2 linked regions of the Pelodiscus sinensis genome follow. The protein of the gene in region 2 purifies or fractionates together with the protein of the main gene of each other region. This does not show direct contact. Links are inferred from orthologs where the notes say so. Each region holds a gene or a part of one and is shown on either strand. Other genes may lie near its edges. The genes, in order: ECPAS and PSMC6.

Region 1 (10,522 bases), on a different chromosome or scaffold from region 2:
TTTTACACAATCAGGAAAAACCGTGGGTTGTGCATGGGTGTGGGTAATACACGTGCATGGGTTATATATGCTAATTTATGGTACTTTGCTTTGAGAAGGCTGGCTAGATATTGGTAAACCTTGGGAGAGAACAGTAGGGCAAGTGCTGAACTAAAAACAGACTTGCTAAGGTGATAACAATGTGTGTCCAAATCCTTGGTGTAGGAGAGGAATATAGGTTACTGCCCTGAGAGACCTGAACCCATAAAGGCCTGGGAAACAGTGATAGGGCTGCCAATTTTCCTGACATTATACCATTTGCAGCAATGCACATCAGACCCAGCCAACACATCTGCAATTCCTCCCCACTCCTTTTTCTGTTTTTATAGCTTAGCTCCCTAGGATCTTATCAGTTTTCTTTCCCCTGCTATTTTTTCCAGTCTTCACTATGGATGTAGTAGTGTAGTTGATTAACCAATTAGCAAAAGCTTAAAGGTTAATGCTATAGACTACACAGGTTTCCCTCTTTTCCCCCTCCCTCCGCCAGTAATTTTTTTAGCTGGCTGGCCAGCAGCGTGGCTCAGTCCTGGCTCCTTCCAGGTCCAGGACCTACTGCCCCCTCCTCCCCCTATGGCTCTGCATTTAAAGTGTATTAGGAGCCAGATGGAGTGGCGTGGGGCCGGAGCACACTGGCTGCCGGCCTCACCCCTGGGGACTATAGAATAGTCAAATGACCGGCCCCAAATACTTGACTATTCAGGTAACCAGTATTTAATATCTCTAGTCTCCGTTAGGGAATAAGCACCTCTTCTGCATGCGCTCACCTAATTGACTTCGATAAAAATTCAACCTTGAGGCCTGCTTTCTTTGTGCTTTCACTATCCAGTCACTTAGGCAAACTTTCCTGGCATTTTCTATTTGCTGGTTTGTGTATTTCATTTAATAGTGAAAATGAGGCATCCTTTCATTTCAATGTGCTTTTCTGATTCCTTACAGTTCTGAACTCTCAAAACTTTTTATAAAGCTTGTGGCATCTGAACAGGGCCCTCCAGCTATCCAAAAATAGTATTGATGTATAATAAAAAAAATGCCTGATCAGTGAAAATGCCTTCCTCAGCCTCAAAGGATGGTCAGCTCCTTCCAAGCATTAATGTGGTTAACATCCCTTTATCTTCTTGAATTTCTGCTAAATATGTAATGCATGAACTCTTTTGATTTATTTATGACTTTGCCTCACTAATTCCTTTCCACTAATTCACCCCTCCCTTTAAAACATAAAGCCTCTTTAAATTATCCCTACATTTATCCTTGTATCCTATATATACCTAGTCTTGTGAGATTTGTAGCCCTTTACAGTCCCAGGTGTATAAGAGCAAAAAGGTTTGCCACCCAGCAAATTTAAACTGGAACAGACTAACCCTTGGTTTTGATACAATAGGCTGAGGCATTTTCTCAAAATCAGACCATTTCCAGTAAACTGGGAACTAGTCACACAGTTATCATAAAAATAGCCTCTTTGTTAATTTGAACTGTGATGCTACTGAAATGGCAGTCTTGCCATGTTTTTTTTTTTTTTTTTTTTTTCATTTACATTTATTTCTCTCTACAGGCAGTCCCCGGGTTACGTACAAGATAGGGACTGTAGGTTTGTTCTTAAGTTGAATCTGTATGTAAGTCGGAACTGGCGTCCAGATTCAGCCGCTGCTGAAACTGATCAGTTTCAACAGCGGCTGAATCTGGACGCCAGTTCTGACTTACATACAGATTCAACTTAAGAACCCCAGGCATCCCCAAGTCAGCTGCTGCTGAAACTGATCAGCGGCTGATTCCAGGAAGCCCAGGGCAGGGGCTTCCTGTAGTCAGCCACTGGTCAGTTTCAGCAGCGGCTGACTTGGGGACGCCTGGGACAGAGCAGCTGGGGTGCTGCTGGGTTGGTCCAGTAGCACCGCCGCTCCTCAGCGCTACTGGATCAACCCAGCAGCACCCAAACTGCTCTGCCCCAGGTGTCCTGATTCAGCCGCTGCTGAATCTGACCAGCAGTGGCTGAATCAGGACGCCTGGGGCAGATCAGCTGGGGTGCTGCCCGGTTGGTCCAGTAGCGCCCAGAGCGGCGCTATGGGACCAACTGGCAGCGCCCCAGCTGCTGTACCACAGGTGTCCGGAGCAAAGCCATGGAGCACAGGGGCAGCGGGACAGCCCAGACGCGCCGTGGCTGTCCTGCTGCCCTCGGGCTCCGTGGCTTTGCTCTGCTTTGTTCCCCGTCCCCCTGGTCTGCAGACCAGGGGGACGGGGAGCAAAGCGGCGGAACACGCGGGCAGCGGACAGCCCAGACGCGTCTGGGCTGTCCGCTGCCCGCGTGCTCCGCGGCTTGGCTCTGCTTTGCCCCCCCGTCCCCCTGGTCTGCAGACCAGGGGGATGGGGAGGGGCAAAGCAGAGCCAAGCCGCGGAGGACGCGGCCAGCTGACAGCTGTCAGCTGACTGCGCGCTCCGCGGCTTGGCTCTGCTTTGCCCCACCCCACCCCCCGTCCCCCTGGTCTGCAGACCGGGGGGGGGGGGGCAAAGCAGAGCCAAGCCTCGGAGCGCGTGGGCAGCGGACAGCCCTGTCCGCTGCCCACGTGTTCCGCCGCTTTGCTTCCTCTCCCTGGTCTGCTGGAGACCAGGGAGAGGAACGGCCCCGTTTGTAACTGCGGATCCGACGTAAGTCGGATCCGCGTAACTCGGGGACTGCCTGTATATTAACTTTTCCTTCTCTTGCTTGTTTGTTCCCATTTTCTTAAATCCTTTTCTTGACATGAACACAACTAGCTCTTGCCAGCCCATTTTTGATAGACCCAACTCTCACCACAGGATGATAACATTTCACTTAAGCAGTTTGTTGCACCTTTTGCTACAAAAATAAAATAGTTCACTGACAGTCTTATTATCCAATTTTTCCAGAACTAGCTTCTTCAATTCTTTATCAGCTTTAGTCAGTTTGTGCAGGAGGAAACACTGTTGTTAGGTGAAATTCACAGTCCCCTCAGTTTGAACTCCTGTGCTGTAGCCATTCTGACTAGGGCTTGAAGCAGTTTGGTGTCCTGTGTCTTTGTCATCTTCTGGTGACAGCAGGCTAACTGTGCATGCACCATCACTAACACACGCAACGCTTCCTGGTATGAGATCACTCTCCCCTTCCATCTGGATTCATAGGGTGCATATACATAGTACCCTAAACTCGAAATAAGATATGCAATTTGCACTATGCAAATTTCATAGCTTATTTTGAGTCTATTTTGAAATAAAGCGCTATTTGAGCCATTCCTTACTCCTGGTAGAATGAGGTTTATAGGGATGGCGAAATAGCTTGTCTGCTATTTTTCAAAATAGCGGACATATTCAGAAGACATGGGATAGCTATTTTGGGATACCTCTAGTATCCTGAAATAGCTTTGCAGTGTAGACATACCCATATAGAGCAAACTGCAACTTCTAACACTGGAAACCCTGATTTTAAAAAAAAGAACAAATAGGTAATGGATCAATGCCAGAATATTTCCAGTCCATTTGTTCTTCAGTCTCTAAGGAAAACGGCTCAACTTTCAAGGATCAGACAAGCTACAGCTATTATAAAAAAGCTGGGCACTGTAGGGTCTTCTGTAAATTATACTATGGAAAGATATGGAGGAAGGGAATGTGTGTACATTCTATATAAGCAGGGCTCAACAAACTATAGAATCTATTCGCCTGTGGCGAATAGATTTCAGCTGTGTGCCCCGTTTACCAGCGGTGCGCACATCCACAACGCGGCTCTTGCACATGCGCAGTGCAGGGCTGGCGAGCGACTTTTGCCGCTGTTTGTCAAGCCCTGTATATAAGGAAGTGCTAATATATTTGTTAGGTTTTGGGTTTTCCGTTATACAATTCAACCTTATGTTTAAAGTTGCTTAGAATTAACATTTGTCTTTTCTATTAACAGGGTTCGATAATATCTCAGTGAGAATAACCTCATGGCTAAAATAAAGGCTTTAAATATGAAACTTCTATTCTTTCCCAAATGCAGAGGTGTTTTTTTTTTTTTAAATATAGGTACCAGGAGGATAGGAGACAGAGTTGTTCCTTGGTGGATTTTTGTATTATACCTTGATGTTGGTACCCATTGAGAGTTGAAGCACTAGATGAGGATTGTTAATGTCTTTAAAAGAGTATTTGTAAATTAGAAACACTGAGGCTGTCTCTACACCGGCAAGTTATTCCAGAAAATCAGCCGCTTTTCCAGAAAAACTTGCCAGCTGTCTACACTGGCTGCTTGAATTTCCGGAAAAGCACCGATAATCTAATGTAAAATCATCAGTGCTTTTCCGGAAAAACTATGCTGCTCCCCTTTGGGCAAAAGTCTTTTTCCGGAAAACTGTTCCGGAAAAGGGCCAGCGTAGACAGCACAGTGGTGTTTTCCGCAAAAAAGCCCCGATTGCGAAAATGACGATCGGGGCTTTGTTGCGGAAAAGCGCGTCTAGATTGGCCACGGACGCTTTTCTGGAAAAAGTGCTTTTCCGGAAAAGCATCCTGCCAATCTCGACGCACTTTTCCAAAAATGCTTTTAATGGAAAACTTTTCCATTAAAAGCATTTCCGGAAAATCATGCCAGTGTAGACATATCCAGAGAGTGGAGGAGTCTAATGGAAATGCTTTAAATCCATATAGTTTAATCCACTCGTTTGAGCTCTAATTTAGAATAAGGCACACCTATTCTGGAGTATGAGTGTCCACACATGAAAAGTAATCGAATATGGCAGGATGTGAATTTAAAGCTGCTTAACTATTCCCCATTAAGTCCATGTGTGGACACACTAATTCCAGCATAAAAGTGCTGCTAATTCAGAATAAACCACTCTTATTCTGGAATAGGAATATTCATACATAGATACATTTAAAAAACAGCAAATGGTCTGGTAGCACTTTATAGATTAACAAGAGATGGTATCATGAGGTTTTGTGGGCACAGCCCACTTCTTCAGATGACTGGAGTTGTGAGCTTAGGATGTGCAGATCCAAACGAAATAGGGGAGAAGGAAAAAAATGGAAGGGTGTGGGAAACAAGGAGCAGAGGGTATAAAAATATAAAAGGGAAAACCAAATAGGTAGAACTGGTAATCTATGAGCACCTAAAGATTGGATAGTTAATCAGGATTAGCTATTAGGGCATAACTTCCCATGTAAAAGTCTAAAGTAGCTTGCAAAGAAAAACTAAGGTAAGGGAACAAAGTCCCTCCTGGAGCAGCTTGAGGGTATGGCCAGGACCCTAGTGGCTGTTGGGAGGACAGATGGGAGGAAGTAGCACCCCTCTGAGGGTGTTTCACACTTCCTCTAAATCTGTGCCTGGTCGGCATTGGCTACAAGTCCCGGGCAACACCTTTCCCAGCTAGAAAATCCTCCAGACTGCTACAAGCAGCTACCACAGATAGGGGGAGAAAGGCAGCGGCGTCGCTGTGCTGCTGACCCGAGCCTCTCCACCACCCCGACCCCCTTGCAAGTGGAGAGAAGTGCCTCGGGAGCCATGGAGGTCAGCCTGGACTCAGGTCAGTGGCCCGGCCTGGGGGCAGGCCGCGTGCGGGGGCAGGGCGAGGGAAGGCGCCCAGGGCCGCTGCGCACATGGAGCGGCCGCGGGGCTAGTGCCTGGCGCCCGTCGGCGAGCGGAGCTCTCGGGGCGGCCGGTGTCTCAGGCGGTGGCGTGGCGGAGGGGAGGGGAAAGCGGCCCGGGCGGGGGGGCTGGGACGATGGCTCAGCTCTTTCTAAATATAAAACTAAAGCGAAGCGAGGGAGGTTGGCCTGGGGGAGGGCGTGAGAGCCGCGCACCCTCCCCCTCCGCGGGAGCTGCCGGCGGGCGCGGCGAGCAGGCGGGCGGGCGCCCCGGGCCAGGCGGCGGCGGAGGGAGAGAGCCGGGCGAGGAGGGGAGGGACCGGGGCTGGGAGCCACCCTGAGCGAAGGGAGCCTCCGGAGCCGCGCGCCCCCGCCCCTCGGCGGCTGGCAACATGGCTGCGGCCGCCTCCGCCGCCCAGGACGAGCTGAGTAAGTGGGGCTGCGCGCGGGGGGGCTCTTGGCCGACAGGACCCCCCCTTCCCCTCCCGCCGCGTGTCCGCGCTGGGGCCGGGCCGGCGCTGCGGCGGGAGCGGGGAAGGGCTGTGAGGGGGGGATGCGGGTTTCCTCGCCCCAGTGTCCGGGCGCTGCGCCCCGGGGCCCCGGCGGGGGGAGCCGCGTTAGGCCGCGGCGGTGCGCAGTCATGGTGCGAAAGGGAAAGCGCGCTCTGAGGGGGCGAGCGCCCGCCCCGCTGTGTGTGTGGGGGGGGGGGGCACGAGCCCCAGCCTGCGGCTCCGGGGGCTGAACAGCCCCGGCACAGGCCGGGCAGCGCCGCAGTGACTCTGCTTTCCTGCCCGCTGGGGCCGGGGAGCGGCCCAGCCGCGGGGCAGGGCGAGGGGAGGGTGGCGCCGGCCTGAGGCTGCGCGCCCCGGCTCTGGAGTGCCCCTCCGCCCGGTGTCCCCGTCCCTGCCAGGGGCCTGGGCCCAGCTTGGGGAGCTGAGAGTTTCTGGGCGTGGGGCCCGCCGCAGGAACTGCTACTGAGGCCGGCTGGGAAATGTAGTCCTCGGTCCCAGGCTGTCAGCTGAGCCTGGCCCAGTGGTTAGAGCAGATCAGCTCTGCCTGCCCTGCTCAGTGATTGCAGGGGGGCGCCAGCTCCTCGCTGGGTGACCTTGGGCAAGCCCCGTCCTGGCCACCTGGACTCCGTTCTCCATCTCTGATCTGTCATTAGTTATTCTCCCTTATCAGGCAATAGCAGTGGTTCTCAAAGTGTGTGTGTGTGTGTGTGGGGGGCGCGCTCAGGAGCCATGGGGGTATTACCTGGGGGATTGTGAGCTGTCAGGCATCACCCCGAACTCTGCTTTGCCACCAGCATTTATGATAGGGCTAAACATTTTTTTAAAAAGTGTTTTTTAGTTTGTAAGGTCTCAGGGGGTAGCCATGTTAATCACTTTAAAAACGGCAAGTAGTTCTGTAGCAGCTTTAGAGACTAACAAATATATCAGGAGTATTTGTGGGGGAAAAACCCCCCGCTTCATCAGATGAGCTCGAGAGGGATAACATAAACCCAGAATTTATAACAGAAGAAAAAGGGGAGGGGAGAGGTAGAACCTGTCAGTTATAGGACCTGGGAAGTCACATTCAGAGGTTTGTTGTGTGAAAGTGGTCAGGAGTACAAAAGTTTGAAAACTGCTGGACTAGAGTATTGTGAAGCTTAATGTTTGTAGAGTCCTTAGAGATGCATGGATCAGAAGTGCTACAGATGTGTAAAGTATTATAAAGTTCTGGTCACTTATATTCTTCTTCAGATTTTCTGCTGAAAGCACACTGTAGATACAGATAAGCCTTCAGTCACTGTATATTTTTTCATTATAAGGAAAAAATATGAAAACTCTCCCCTTCCAGAGCTTGATATGTTTTGTTTGGATTTAAAGTAGAAACGTAATGTAAGAATAAAATATATTGGAAAACACATTTATCCATTTCAGTCTTCTTTTGTGCAAATGATGTTCCTAATCCCGCATTAAGAATTGCATGGCACACTGTGGGCCCATGCAGTTCTCAGTGCTGATGAGGATAGAAGTCAGAATTTGAGTAATGTAGTTGTGTAAGTTTAAAAATACTCATTTGCTGGTCAGAAATCGACACCCAGTTTTGGGTGGTTTTTTAACCTTCACATCTACTGGTGACTCTGGTGCAGTAAGTATAAACCTGTCTCTGAAGAAGTATAAAATGTTAAGGGAATGTTTTCTTGTTGCTGCATCTCCTGAGGTATAACTAGTTTTCAGATGATGTATAACCCAGCTGGGGGAACTATGAGCCTGATGTGTGGGCTGGGGAAAATGGTGTTTTGGACTTGACTTGGTTGTGGAATTGAATTACCACCAGAAACTCAGCAGAAGAAAGAAAGCTATTAAGGATTTTCAAGCTGCAAGCTGTCATATTTAAACCACACGTTGGTGTTTGCTGTGTAACTTTTCTGTGTCCTCTCTTTGGAGAGAACTCTAGTTTCTATAAACTGTTGGGTGAGGGGTATAGACAATGGAACACTAAAATACTAGTGGAGTCCCTACTGTCAATAATTCTGTTTTTTTGTTTTCAAGTCTGACACAAATGTTAACATGCTTACTCAAATGAGAGTTGGGATGAATCATTGTCATGACCATTTTCTGTAGTCTAGAAAAATTATTCCAACTCTATGGTCCCCCATCAGCCATGAAATTCTTCCTCAACAGTCAATGATACATCACTGTTGTTTCCTTTGCTCTCACACTTTGTGAAATTACTCAGGCCTTCTGACCTGAGGGTAGTGGGTATTTTTTTTTTTTTGAAAAGGGATGCTGGTGGTTTTTCTAATGCTACCTCTTATGAATAAATGGAAAAGTTGTGCAGTCAAAGATGAACTTTAACAAGAAACATAAGTAGTACCGGGAGAGGGGAAAACTGGGCAGACTTCTCAGGAAGAAGGATGTGAGAGACTAAAATTAGACATCACATTGTATTTTGTTAGGGATCTGATTGGTAGGATAATGAGCCTCCTGTAAGAGTAACCATGACTTTGTTTTAGACCAGAAATCCAATTTATCCCTGTTTTGTAGATATTTAGCTGTAATAAACTTTGGTCTGTAGAAGCAATCAAATAGATGAGCTGTTACTACCTTTTTTGTTGAGGGGGTGGAAAAAAGTGCTTGCTTAAACTTTTTCCATGAGGATATTCATGATTTGGTAGATGAACAACTTAAACAGTGATTGCTTGAATCCTAATTTAAAATCCATAAATTGGGCCTAGAGCTATGAGTGTTTTGAAACTGGCTCCCCCCCCCCCTCGTGTTGTATCTAGAGACTGGGTAGTAATCTAAAGGGAGACTAAACCTGACACACTGAACATGGAAATCCAAATTTTGACATTTAAGATCTGTATCTAAACTTTTCTCTGATATGGAGGAGTATGATGAAAACATAAAAATACTTCCCAAGAGTGAAAGATCACGCTTTATAAACTTGACTAGTGGTGTGGCCAGGTCCCTAATAGTGCTCTCCTAAAGTAATTCAAGATTGTGGTAGAGCAGTGGTCACCAACCAGCAGATTAGGATCTACTGGTAGATCTTGGAGCCTCTGTCAGGTGATCCTGACTGGTTTGGCCCTGTGGCTATCAAGTGCCTGCACTTCAGCTGTTCCTCTTCCCACTGCCGCACATCTCCTGCCCTTTGCCTTGGAACTGTTTCCCCCAGGAGCCTCCTGCTTGCTGTGCAGGAGAGGGAGAGGAGGGCACTGAAGTAAAGGCGCCCCCGTCTCCCACCTTGTATCCTGTCTCCACAGAGCAGAGTGGGGGCACAACAGGACTAGGGATAGAGCAAGTTTGCTGGCTGCTTTTGGGAGCTGTGCAGAGCTGGGGAAGGGTGAGCCTGCCTTAGCCTCACTACACCAGGAGCCAGCTGAGGTAAGCAGTGCCCAACTGAGGTCCACATCCTGAACCCCAACCCAAGTCATGAACTGCCTCGACCTCAAGCTCCTGCCCTAGCCCTGAGCCCTCATGCATGCGAACACCCTCCCAGAACCTGCAACTTGAACCCTGTCCTACAACCTAACTGCCTGCCCTAAGCTCGGCTGAGAGCCCCTCTCACACTCCAAATTGGGGTTGCCAGATGGCTGAAAGAAAAATATGGACCCCCCCCCAAAAAAACCCCACCAGAAAAATTTTTGTTGAAGGGGGGAAAAAAAGGAGGGGGGTGTACCAAAGTTGTTGAGCCAAAAAAAAAAAAACCCAAACACTCCAAGAACCTGGATCACTGCTAGCAGTTACCAGGTAATCATATAATATTAAAACAAACAAACAAACAAAAAAACCATGCTTCATGGGTGGTGGGGGACCGGCCAGGAAGGGAGTGGTGCTGGCTGGGAAATGGGGGGGGCGTCAACGGGGCTGGCTGGGGGAGATGGGGGGGGGGCCAATGGAAAGCAGGGCTGGTCATTGGGGGGCAGGGTTGGGTGGAACGAGGCTGGCCTTGGGATATCGGGGGAGGGGAGACTGGCCGGAAGGGGGTGGGGCTGGCTGGGAGTAAGGGGGGGCGGGAAGCACAGCTGGGGGGGATTGGGGGCCACGAGGCTGGCCGGGAGGAAGGGGGAGCGGGGAGCAGAGCTGGCGGGCACAGGAAGAGGTACAGCGGTGTTGGCCGGAGGAGACAAGGAAGAGGAATGGGCTGGTGGGAAGCAGAGCTGGGGGGCAGTGCAGGGGGGCTGGCTGGGGAAGATCAGGAAGGGAAGTGGTGGAGAACCGGCCGACTGGGGCGTGGGGGGTGAGCAAATTGGCCAGCGGGAGTGGGACTAACCTGGGCACTTTGTGCCTGTCCTGTGCAGGCTCCCGGCGATGCATGAGTGAGGAGGAGGCTTCCCCTCCTCCTCACACTCAACCAGTGGAGGGCTCCCAGCGGCAATCGCGGCCCCGCTTCCCAGCTGGGACTCCCAGCCACTCCCACGCCCATGCCATCCGGT
Region 2 (10,192 bases):
CAATAAAACGTGAAGACTGGAAGTCAGAAACTTTTCAGAAGTTAAACATTTGGGGAGGGTTTCAACAAAATACTCAGAAATGTTGACAATACCAGATATTTCCTACAGAAGTTTCTGTTTTGACTAAAGAGTCATTTCAAGCAAACAAACAAAAATTGACTAGCTGTGGTAAATCGGTAAGATCACGTCGGACGTATCTGCCCATATAATGTATTTGAAAGATTTTTGAAGCACTTTGTTCACACCTACTATCTGCAACATGTTTAGACCAACTCTGTCCTTCATAGAAAAAAAAATAACTTGTTGGCAAAAACTTACCTCATAATAGTTAGTGTAGTCATATCCAGAGCAACTCTTGTCCCTGGCTTCAGCTTACTTTTGTCAAGCTAGTGTTACAAGAGATGTTTCTATTAGAAATTGACTCAAACAGCAAAGTGATGGAATTCTGTATTTCTGCAGTAATTGTTCTTGTTTGGTATGACAGAAAAAGGATTTAGTGCCAGCATGGGTTCAGTTAGTGACTTTCCCCTCTCCCTCTGATACAAGTGAAGATAGCCGATCAAGAGGAATGTAGTGGATTACAACACCCCTGCAATTCGGGCAGGCAGTTTGGTTGATTATGTATTCCTACACCTGTTTTCACCCCTTACACCTTGGGGACACCATCAAGCTCAGCTTAAAATAAGGTGACTCCAGCTATGTATTCTACGTTGCTGAAGTTGAGTACCTTATGACAAGCTGCCGGGTTTAGGGTAGACCTGACTTAAAAAAGCTTGGTTAGTTTAGCCTAGCAAAACAAAGGCTAAGAGGGAAAAGGACTGCTATTTCTACATACATCAAATGGGTAAATATCAGAGAGAGAGAGAGAAGAGCTCTCTCAGCTAAAGGACAACACTGGCAGAAGAACAAATAGGGATGAACTAGCCACGAGTAGATTTAGGCTAGAAATTAGAGGGTTTCTAAACATTAGAGGAATGGGGTTCTGGTATAGCCTTAACAGCTTATACTTAACTTTATAAGAACCAAAAAAAAAACTAAAAGAATCCCATATCATCTCAGGCTGTTTACACTTTGCTTTATTATTCCCATGAATTCATTCCAGCACTCTCGGCATGCCATACCGATCTCTACACTGCAGAGAGCACTACATCTATGTTAGTAGCCAAGCGCAACTTAAAGAATAGTGTACAAACTTGCTGACTTTAAATATGTAACAAAAAATGAATACTTAATATCAGAGCAAGCTATTTAAAAACATCCAAGCAAAGCAGTGTTACCTGACGACGACAGCCAACCACATATCTTGGCCCATTTGTAGCTTTCACAATGACTAAAGAGAGAGAAAATGACAGAGAAAACAAGATAAAGCTTTTTAATCCCCCTGATTGCTGGTACAAAATAAGTAGCAATTATACAATATTTTCATAGTGATGACTAATTAGTAATGCTCCATTTCATTCTTTAAATGTGTCATTTATTTTGCTTATCTTGAAGACCAGAAGTTTAAAAAAGTAAAATATATCAGCGAAGAAACTTACATTTCTCTTCTGTTAACTGTTTAAGAACCTCACCAACAATCTATGAAAAAATGGAAAAAAGTATTATCTGCATCTATGAAAGTATTAGTATATAGCATATTTAACATACATTCCTAATTTGATCTTTGCCTGTCACCTTTACACCCTATTCCTGCTCCACAGGAGCGGCCTACTATTCTATTTCTTTCTTATTGCCCATAAACCAGGAACAGCTGTTAAAAATACACCTAACTCTGTGTACTTACCACTTGTAAAAGACCACACCGTGGTACATTTGCTCTGAGGGTACCATATCCTGTTCATATTCTTCAACTGTGGTAATAATTTGTTAAGCACAGCTCACCTACCACCCAATGCCATCCACAGTTGTGTCATTATGTATAATGCGTACCTGTCCAACACTCTGCAAAGCCTTGAGGTCATTTTCAGATTTTTCATACTGCTTGGTAAGCTCTTTCAGTTGTTCCCTTACTAAAACACAAAAAAAGAAAAGGATTTACTACCCTTTAATCTATTAGAAACCAAGCACCAGGGCTTGTCAATTTGCAGAGAAGATATAACCCTGAAATCAGTTCGAGTTGATACAGGAGAATCAGCGATTGGCTATTCTTGCTAGAAGCAGTCATTCTAGCCCAGAGTGATGACACCCCACCAATCCCAATGGGTTACCCCCCTCTGAAATAACTCTGGCTTGCATTAGACTAGGAGAATGCTAATGGGAAAACAAGATACTTTAATCACTTCTCCATACACATATATCCCTGGCCTAGTGTTAGCTCTGTGGGGCCTACCCTAATAATCATGTAAATCGCATCATGAGCTTCCACAGGTAAAATCCAGTTGCCCACGAAAGCTCAGGACACCATCTCCATGTTTTGTTAGTCTTTAAGGTGCTACCAGACTATTTGTTGTTGTTGTTCTTTAAAGTTTTTCCTGTTACAGACTAACTCAGCTTCCCCTCTGAAACCCTAATAACCAGCCGGGGTAGGGGGCTGGGACTGGGCACGCCTCTTTAGGAGGGGGGATTCCTTAAACAGGGTATTAACCCCCTCCTCTCACACACTGAATCAGGGCAGCGGCCAGACCCCCACCTCCAGGGGGATGCCCCCGCTTCCCTCTCCCCAATGCCACCCTAGGAGGCCCGGCCCCCCCTTCCTTCCTTGCCCCCCCCATTCCACCCTAGGAGGCCCGCCCCCGCTTCCTTCCTTGCCCCCCCATTCCACCCTAGGAGGCCTGGCCCCCCCCTTCCTTCCTTGCCCCCCCCATTCCACCCTAGGAGGCCCGGGCCCCCCCTTCCTTCCTTGCCCCCCCCATTCCGCCCTAGAAGGCCCAGGCCCCCCCTTCCTTCCTTGCCCCCCCATTCCGCCCTAGGAGGCCCAGGCCCCCCCGTTTCCTCGCCCCCCCATTCCGCCCTAGGAGGCCCGGCCCCCCCCCTTTCCTTGCCCCCCCCATTCCGCCCTAGGAGGCCCGGCCCCCCCCGTTTCCTTGCCCCCCCCATTCCGCCCTAGGAGGCCCGGCCCCCCCCGTTTCCTTGCCCCCCCATTCCGCCCTAGGAGGCCCAGGCCCCCCTTCCTTCCTTGCCCCCCCCATTCCGCCCTAGGAGGCCCGCCCCCCCGTTTCCTTGCCCCCCCATTCCGCCCTAGGAGGCCCGGCCCCCCCCGTTTCTTTGCCCCCCCCATTCCGCCCTAGGAGGCCCAGGCCCCCCCGTTTCCTTGCCCCCCCATTCCGCCCTAGGAGGCCCAGGCCCCCCCTTCCGTCCTAGGAGGCCCGGCCCCCCCCGTTTCCTTGCCCCCCCATTCCGCCCTAGGAGGCCCGGCCCCCCCCGTTTCCTTGCCCCCCCCCATTCCGCCCTAGGAGGCCCAGGCCCCCCCCCTCTCCTTGCCCCCCCCATTCCGCCCTAGGAGGCCCAGGCCCCCCCCTCTCCTCGCCCCCCCCCATTCCGCCCTAGGAGGCCCGGTCCCCTCTCCTCGCCCCCCCCCATTCCGCCCTAGGAGGCCCGGTCCCCTCTCCTCGCCCCCCCCCATTCCGCCCTAGGAGGCCCGGTCCCCTCTCCTCGCCCCCCCCCCATTCCGCCCTAGGAGGCCCGGTCCCCTCTCCTCGCCCCCCCCCATTCCGCCCTAGGAGGCCCGGCCCCCCCCGTTTCTTTGCCCCCCCCATTCCGCCCTAGGAGGCCCAGGCCCCCCCGTTTCTTTGCCCCCCCCATTCCGCCCTAGGAGGCCCAGGCCCCCCCTTCCTTCCTCGCCCCCCCCATTCCGCCCTAGGAGGCCCGGCCCCCCCCTTCCTTCCTCGCCCCCCCATTCCGCCCTAGGAGGCCCAGGCCCCCCCTTCCTTCCTCGCCCCCCCCATTCCGCCCTAGGAGGCCCGGCCCCCCCCTTCCTTCCTCGCCCCCCCATTCCGCCCTAGGAAGCCCGGCCCCCCCTCTCCTCGCCCCCCCCATTCCGCCCTAGGAGGCCCGGCCCCCCCTCTCCTCACCCCCCCCATTCCGCCCTAGGAGGCCCGGCCCCCCCTCTCCTCGCCCCCCCCATTCCGCCCTAGGAGGCCCGGCCCCCCCTCTCCTCGCCCCCCCATTCCGCCCTGGGAGGCCCGGCCCCCCCTCTCCTCGCCCCCCCATTCCGCCCTGGGAGGCCCGGCCCCCCCTCTCCTCGCCCCCCCCATTCCGCCCTAGGAGGCCCCCCCGGCCGCGCGGCGCTCACACTCCTTGAGGCGCCCGTCGATCTCCTTGTGCTCCAGCAGCTTCTTGCGATAATCCTGCAGCGCCTTGTCTCGCGGGTCCGCCATGATGAGCAGGCGCCGCTCATAGGGAATGCCGGGAAGGGCCATGGCCGCCGGGGGCCGGGCCGCGCGCCCCGCCTGCCCCGCCCCGCGCGCCGGCCGCGCGCCCCGCCCACAGCGCCCCCTGGCGCCCCGGCGGGGAGCCGCGCCCGCCCGCCCGCCGCCGCCCGCGCGGCCTCCCCGGGTCCTAGTGCCCGTGAGCACCGCGCCAGCAGGGCAGGGCACAGCCAGCCCCGGGAGGGAGGGAGCGATGCCGCGGGGGCGTGGCACTGCTGGGGGGGGGAGGGGGGCCAAAAATGCATTCTCTTGACAAATTGTAAAACACACTCCATGGGCGGTGATGGCTCCAGCAGCCTGGATCTCACACCCTGTGCCCCCTGCTTAGCTCCCCCCCCCCCCCCGGGGAGGGGGTTCGTCTACACCGCAGGGTTTTTGGAGAAGACGCCGTTTGCGCCAGAGATTTTGCACAAAAACGTCTGGCACAAAAGCGCGTCCAGACCTCAAAGCGCAGCCACGTGCCTGCGCACACGCGAGCGGCCACGCTGCATGGACACTCTTGTGCAAGGAAGGTCTTGCACCTGTGCTTTTTCCCGGAGGGGTTTCTTCTTCCTGCGGAGAGTCCACACCTGCCTTTTTGCACAAGAGCTGTGGCACACAAAGGAGTTATTCCTCGTGGGGAGAGGAATAACTGCCCTGGAAAAAGCCCTCTGTTCTGTCGATTTTCTTGCGCAAAAGTGCGCTTGAGGTGTGGACACTCCACAGGGGTGTCCACCTTGGAGTGTAGACATAGCCAGGAGGTGCTTGCAGGCACAAAGTTAAGCTCTGTGTGGTAGACCCCAGTCCTGAAAAGGTTTACACAAGTCACCTAACAAGAGGAGGAAAACTCTGCAAAGAGCCCTTCTCAGGGCTCATCCTTCCCTACTTCCTAGAGAAGTCCGGCTCCTATCTCCCCTCTGTGATAGAGATAAGTAACCTGGACCAGCTTTACTGAACTGAAGTGTAGCTCTTTGGGGGGTCCATGGTGTTAAAATGCAATTGTGTACATGTTATTGTGAGATTGCGCATCGCTTCTCTAAGAGGAGGGGATATGCGGATGTTGTAACTCCCGTGGTTATCAGTTTTTGGAACCCACCCCCCACAGAAGTTTGCAAATACTAGTTCAGACGGGATTCGCATGGGACCAGACCCAGACGGCATTATTAGAGAAACAGCCTGCTTTTAATCCGGGTCTGGGTTTTTTCTTTTGATCCAGCAAACTGAGGGGAGCTCTGCTCAACAGAGGGTCCTGCTCCCTAGGGAAGGGTCGGAAGGACTAACACAGACCAAGAGGAGGAGATTTCTCCTTAGATTGTATGTAGCTTCTTATATATTTTTAATATGTTTTCTCTGCAGTGCTTTTACTTCAAGACTAAAATAGGCTTGCTTAGGTAGCCCAGGGTTGTATACTTCAGAAGTACTGGGAACTACAAATGCGGTGGTTCCTGCCAAGATGCACCTGACCTTTGCCTTCCTAGCAGGAAGTGTCAGCACTGACTGAAGCTGGGAGTGCCAGGCAAACAAGGAGACAGGAGGCTACTGGATTGTCATTCTTCCTGTTCATCGTTTCTTTACAGGCTAAAACCTCCTTGTGACAGTTTGTTTGAGTGGGTGTGGTCTGAGCTGAACATCCTCTGACATACAACACAGATGCAACCCTTCTGCCACGTGGAGCCAGCTGCAGCCAGGGCCAGGTTCAATAGCTAGGGGTTCTTCTCCATCCATTCAACACTGACCTGGCTCAAGCCCCAGCCCAGTAACCTGGGAAATTCACACAACACTTCTGGGCGTCTCTGAGAGGCAATGCTCCCCCATTCACAAGCACAGCGTCTGAGTGAGCGTAGAAAAGAGACTTTTAATAAGAGAGAGGGAAGTAACTTGGGAACACACCACAAACAGGGCTCATAAACAACCACGAGTAACAGTCCCACCCCAAGCAGGTTGGACAGTGTCCTTTTCCTCTCAGGTTCTTAAGTCCAGCAACCTCAATGTCCCCGTCACATGCCCACCCCTTCTCTGCACCCCACTCCAAGTTGCTGCCCTTGGCCAAGCCAGGGCAGACTAGAGTTCAAAGGTGCATCCACAGAGTTTATCTCTCATCCTGAATGGGGGCAGGGGGACAAAGAGGCATCTTACTCTGCTGGCCATTTGCCATCCAGCTGCTTGCCACACCTCACTGTCACCGCCCTGCTGGCTGCTTGCCACGCCTCTCTGTCGCCGCCCTGCTGGCTGCTTGCCACGCCTCTCTGTCGCCGTCCTGCTGGCTGCTTGCCGCACCCCTCTATCGCCGCCCTGCTGGCTGCTTGCCACACCTCTCTGTCGCCGCCCTGCTGGCTGCTTGCCGCACCTCACTGTCACCGCCCTGCTGGCTGCTTGCCGCACCCCTCTATCGCCGCCCTTCTGGCTACCTGCCACACCTCTCTGTCGCCACCTTCCTGGCTGCTTGCCACACCTCTCTGTCACCGCCCTGCTGGCTGCTTGCCACACCTCTCTGTCGCCACCTTGCTGGCTGCTTGCCGCACCCCTCTATCGCCGCCCTGCTGGCTGCTTGCCACACCTCTCTGTCGCCACCTTGCTGGCTGCTTGCCGCACCCCTCTATCGCCGCCCTGCTGGCTGCTTGCCACACCTCTCTGTCGCCACCTTGCTGGCTGCTTGCCGCACCCCTCTATCGCCGCCCTGCTGGCTGCTTGCCACACCTCTCTGTCGCCACCTTGCTGGCTGCTTGCCGCACCCCTCTATCGCCGCCCTGCTGGCTGCTTGCCGCACCTCACTGTCACCGCCCTGCTGGCTGCTTGCCGCACCCCTCTATCGCCGCCCTTCTGGCTACCTGCCACACCTCTCTGTCGCCACCTTGCTGGCTGCTTGCCGCACCCCTCTATCGCCGCCCTGCTGGCTGCTTGCTACACCTCTCTGTCGCTGCCCTGCTGGCTGCTCGTTATATCTCTCCACCTCTGTCCTGCTGGTCTCTCATTGCATCTCTCCACCACTGTCCTGACGGCTGTCAGTCACCACAGGTTGCCATCCACTTTTTGGCTGTGATCTCTGCCCATCAGTCTCAAGTGATTTCAGCTCCCCGTGAATTCACTCTTAGCAAGCAGGGTAGAAGAAACACGACTCCACCACCATTAACATCAGAAAGGGATCTCAGGGGTACCCGTGTTAGTCTGTAACTATTATTTATTTATTTAAAATATTTTTACCTCACCTCTCTGTTTGAAATGTTTGAGGTGGCTTACAAACATAAGAACATAAGAACGGCCGTACTGGGTCAGACCAAAGGTCCATCTAGCCCAGTATCCTGTCTACCGACAGTGGCCAGCACCAGGTGCCCCAGAGAGGGTGGACCGAAGACAATGATCAAGCGATTTGTCTCCTGCCATCCCTCTCCAGCCTCTGACAAACAGAGGCCAAGAACACCATTTTATCCCCTGGCTAATAGCCTTTTATGGACCTAACCTCCATGAAATTATCTAGCTTCTCTTTAAACTCTATTATAGTCCTAGCCTTCACAGCCTCCTCTGGCAAGGAGTTCCACAGGTTGACACCACGCTGTGTGAAGAAGAACTTTCTTTTATTAGTTTTAAACCTGCTCCCCATTAATTTCATTTGGTGTCCTCTAGTTCTTCTATTTAGGGAACTAATAAATAACTTTTCTTTATCGGCCCTCTCCACACCACTCATGATTTTATAGACCTCTATCATATCCCCCCTCAGTCTCCTCTTTTCTAAACTGAAAAGTCCCAGTCGCTTTAACCTCTCTTCATATGGGACCTGTTCCAAACCCCTAATCATTTTAGTTGCCCTTTTCTGAACCCTTTTCAAGGCCAAAATACCTTTTTTGAGGTGAGGAGACCACATCTGTACACAGTATTCAAGATGTGGGCGTACCATAGTTTTATAGAGGGGCAGTAAGATATTCTGGGTCTTATTTTCTATCCCTTTCCTAATAATACCTAGCATCCTATTTGCCTTTTTGACCACCGCTGCACACTGCGTGGAAGTTTTCAGAGAACTGTCCACGATAACTCCAAGATCTCTTTCCTGATTTGTCGTAGCCAAATTAGCCCCCATCATACTGTACGTATAGTTGGGGTTATTTGTCCCGATGTGCATTACTTTACACTTATCCACATTAAATTTCATTTGCCATTTTGTTGCCCAATCACTCAGTTTGGTGAGATCTTCTTGGAGTCCCTCACAGTCTGCTTCTGTCTTCACTATCCTAAACAGTTTTGTATCATCTGCAAACTTTACCACCTCACTGCTTACCCCTTTCTCCAGATCATTTATGAATAAGTTGAAAAGGATTGGTCCCAGGACTGACCCTTGGGGGACACCACTAGTTACCCCTCTCCAATCTGAAAATTTACCATTTATTCCTACCCTTTGTTTCCTGTCTTTTAGCCAGTTCTCAATCCAAGAAAGGACCTTCCCTCTTATCCCATGGCCATGTAATTTACACAAGAGCCTTTGGTGAGGGACCTTGTCAAAGGCTTTCTGAAAATCTAAGTATACTATATCTACTGGATCCCCCTTGTCCGCATGTTTGTTAACCCCTTCAAAGAACTCTAACAGATTAGTAAAACAGGATTTCCCTTTACAGAAACCATGTTGACTTTTGTCCAACAAATTATGTTCTTCTACATGCTTCACAATTTTATTCTTTACTATTGTTTCGACTAATTTGCCCGGTACTGAAGTTAGACTTACCGGTCTGTAATTGCCAGGATCGCCTCTAGAGCAAACTCTCTGTAAGTGGTCTCAATGCCAAGAGATGGTACAGAACAATGCACCCAGCAGGTGTGTGGGTTACCCTTGCCCACCCTGACAAAGTTTTTTTTGAATGTCCAACCTAATATTCAAAGTCAATGGGAGCTCTGAGGGATCAGTGCTTTTGAAAATTAGGCCCCTTTTATCTGGGTGTCTAAGCATGGAGCGACAAAACTAACTCAAGACACCCAAGATTGACAATGCTGGTCTCAATCTTCAGTGCCTTAATTTCCCTTCCTGAAAAGCAAGGGCAATTTTTATTTCTCTTCCCTACTGGGAAGTTGTGAGGTGCTTTGCATCTTCAGAGGGTGAGTGTGGTAGAAAACACGTAGTATCGGTTTTATAATATAATAATTAAATGAATAATCAAACAACTTAGATATTGTAATTTGCATAGAGAAGAGTCAGTTGCAAGTAAAACCATTAAAGACATTCTTTAACAATTGCGCAGTCAGGAAGCTCTGGGGTTGCACTAATTTTCAGTTGCAACAGTGGAATGACTTTTGCAGAATTACTCATTCTATACACTATCAGGCTACACCTGCTGCTCTCTAGACTGTGCTTGTGTCAGGTTCCACCAGGTGACGATGTACAGAAATCTAGGTCATTATAAAGAAAGAATGAACTGCTTTACCTAGTAGTGTATAGCTGCACTGTAAAATTTTTCGACTTCCTCTTGGCTCTGTCCACAGGAAGACGTAACAATTTTTGAAACTAGTTTCAAACAGTGAGGTGCCCACACTTGGTTTGTATCCATCCTCAACATGTTTACAGACTAGGGATGTTAAAAAGTGGGTAGGTGGGTAATTGTGTAACTGCTGAAAATTGCAGCGGTTACATGGTTACATGCTCCTGCAGTGTGGGGCAGCAGCCAGCTCCATGGGAGCTGGTGCATGCCATGAAACCGCTTTTAAGCAGTCTCCTAGTACATACCAGCTCCTGCCTGCCAGCCCCACTCCTGGGGAGACAGCAACGGTCCCATGCTGCTCTCTCTGTATCAGAAGCAGCAGTGCGAGGTAGCAGCTGGCTCCCTGGGAGCCATTGTGCATCAGGAACTGGTTTAAAAGATGGCTCC

What was found.
Region 1: the proteins of PSMC6 (region 2) and ECPAS purify together in Homo sapiens (affinity purification with western blotting; 3 studies listed by BioGRID and IntAct, with this or other methods). This does not show direct contact. The link is inferred for Pelodiscus sinensis from reciprocal best matches to the Homo sapiens genes PSMC6 and ECPAS.

What each region holds. Positions count from the first base shown.
Region 1 is NC_134716.1:10,164,035-10,174,556, forward strand, and holds the start of ECPAS (proteasome adapter and scaffold protein ECM29), read left to right. Parts: upstream 1-5,775; 5' UTR 5,776-5,987; coding exon 5,988-6,024; intron 6,025-9,349; exon of another isoform or gene 9,350-9,470; intron 9,471-10,522. UniProt on the Homo sapiens protein: Adapter/scaffolding protein that binds to the 26S proteasome, motor proteins and other compartment specific proteins. May couple the proteasome to different compartments including endosome, endoplasmic reticulum and centrosome.
Region 2 is NC_134714.1:7,697,573-7,707,764, reverse strand, and holds the start of PSMC6 (26S proteasome regulatory subunit 10B), read right to left. Parts: upstream 4,391-10,192; 5' UTR 4,359-4,390; coding exon 4,232-4,358; intron 2,010-4,231; coding exon 1,930-2,009; intron 1,579-1,929; coding exon 1,539-1,578; intron 1,331-1,538; coding exon 1,278-1,330; intron 387-1,277; coding exon 319-386; intron 1-318. UniProt on the Homo sapiens protein: Component of the 26S proteasome, a multiprotein complex involved in the ATP-dependent degradation of ubiquitinated proteins.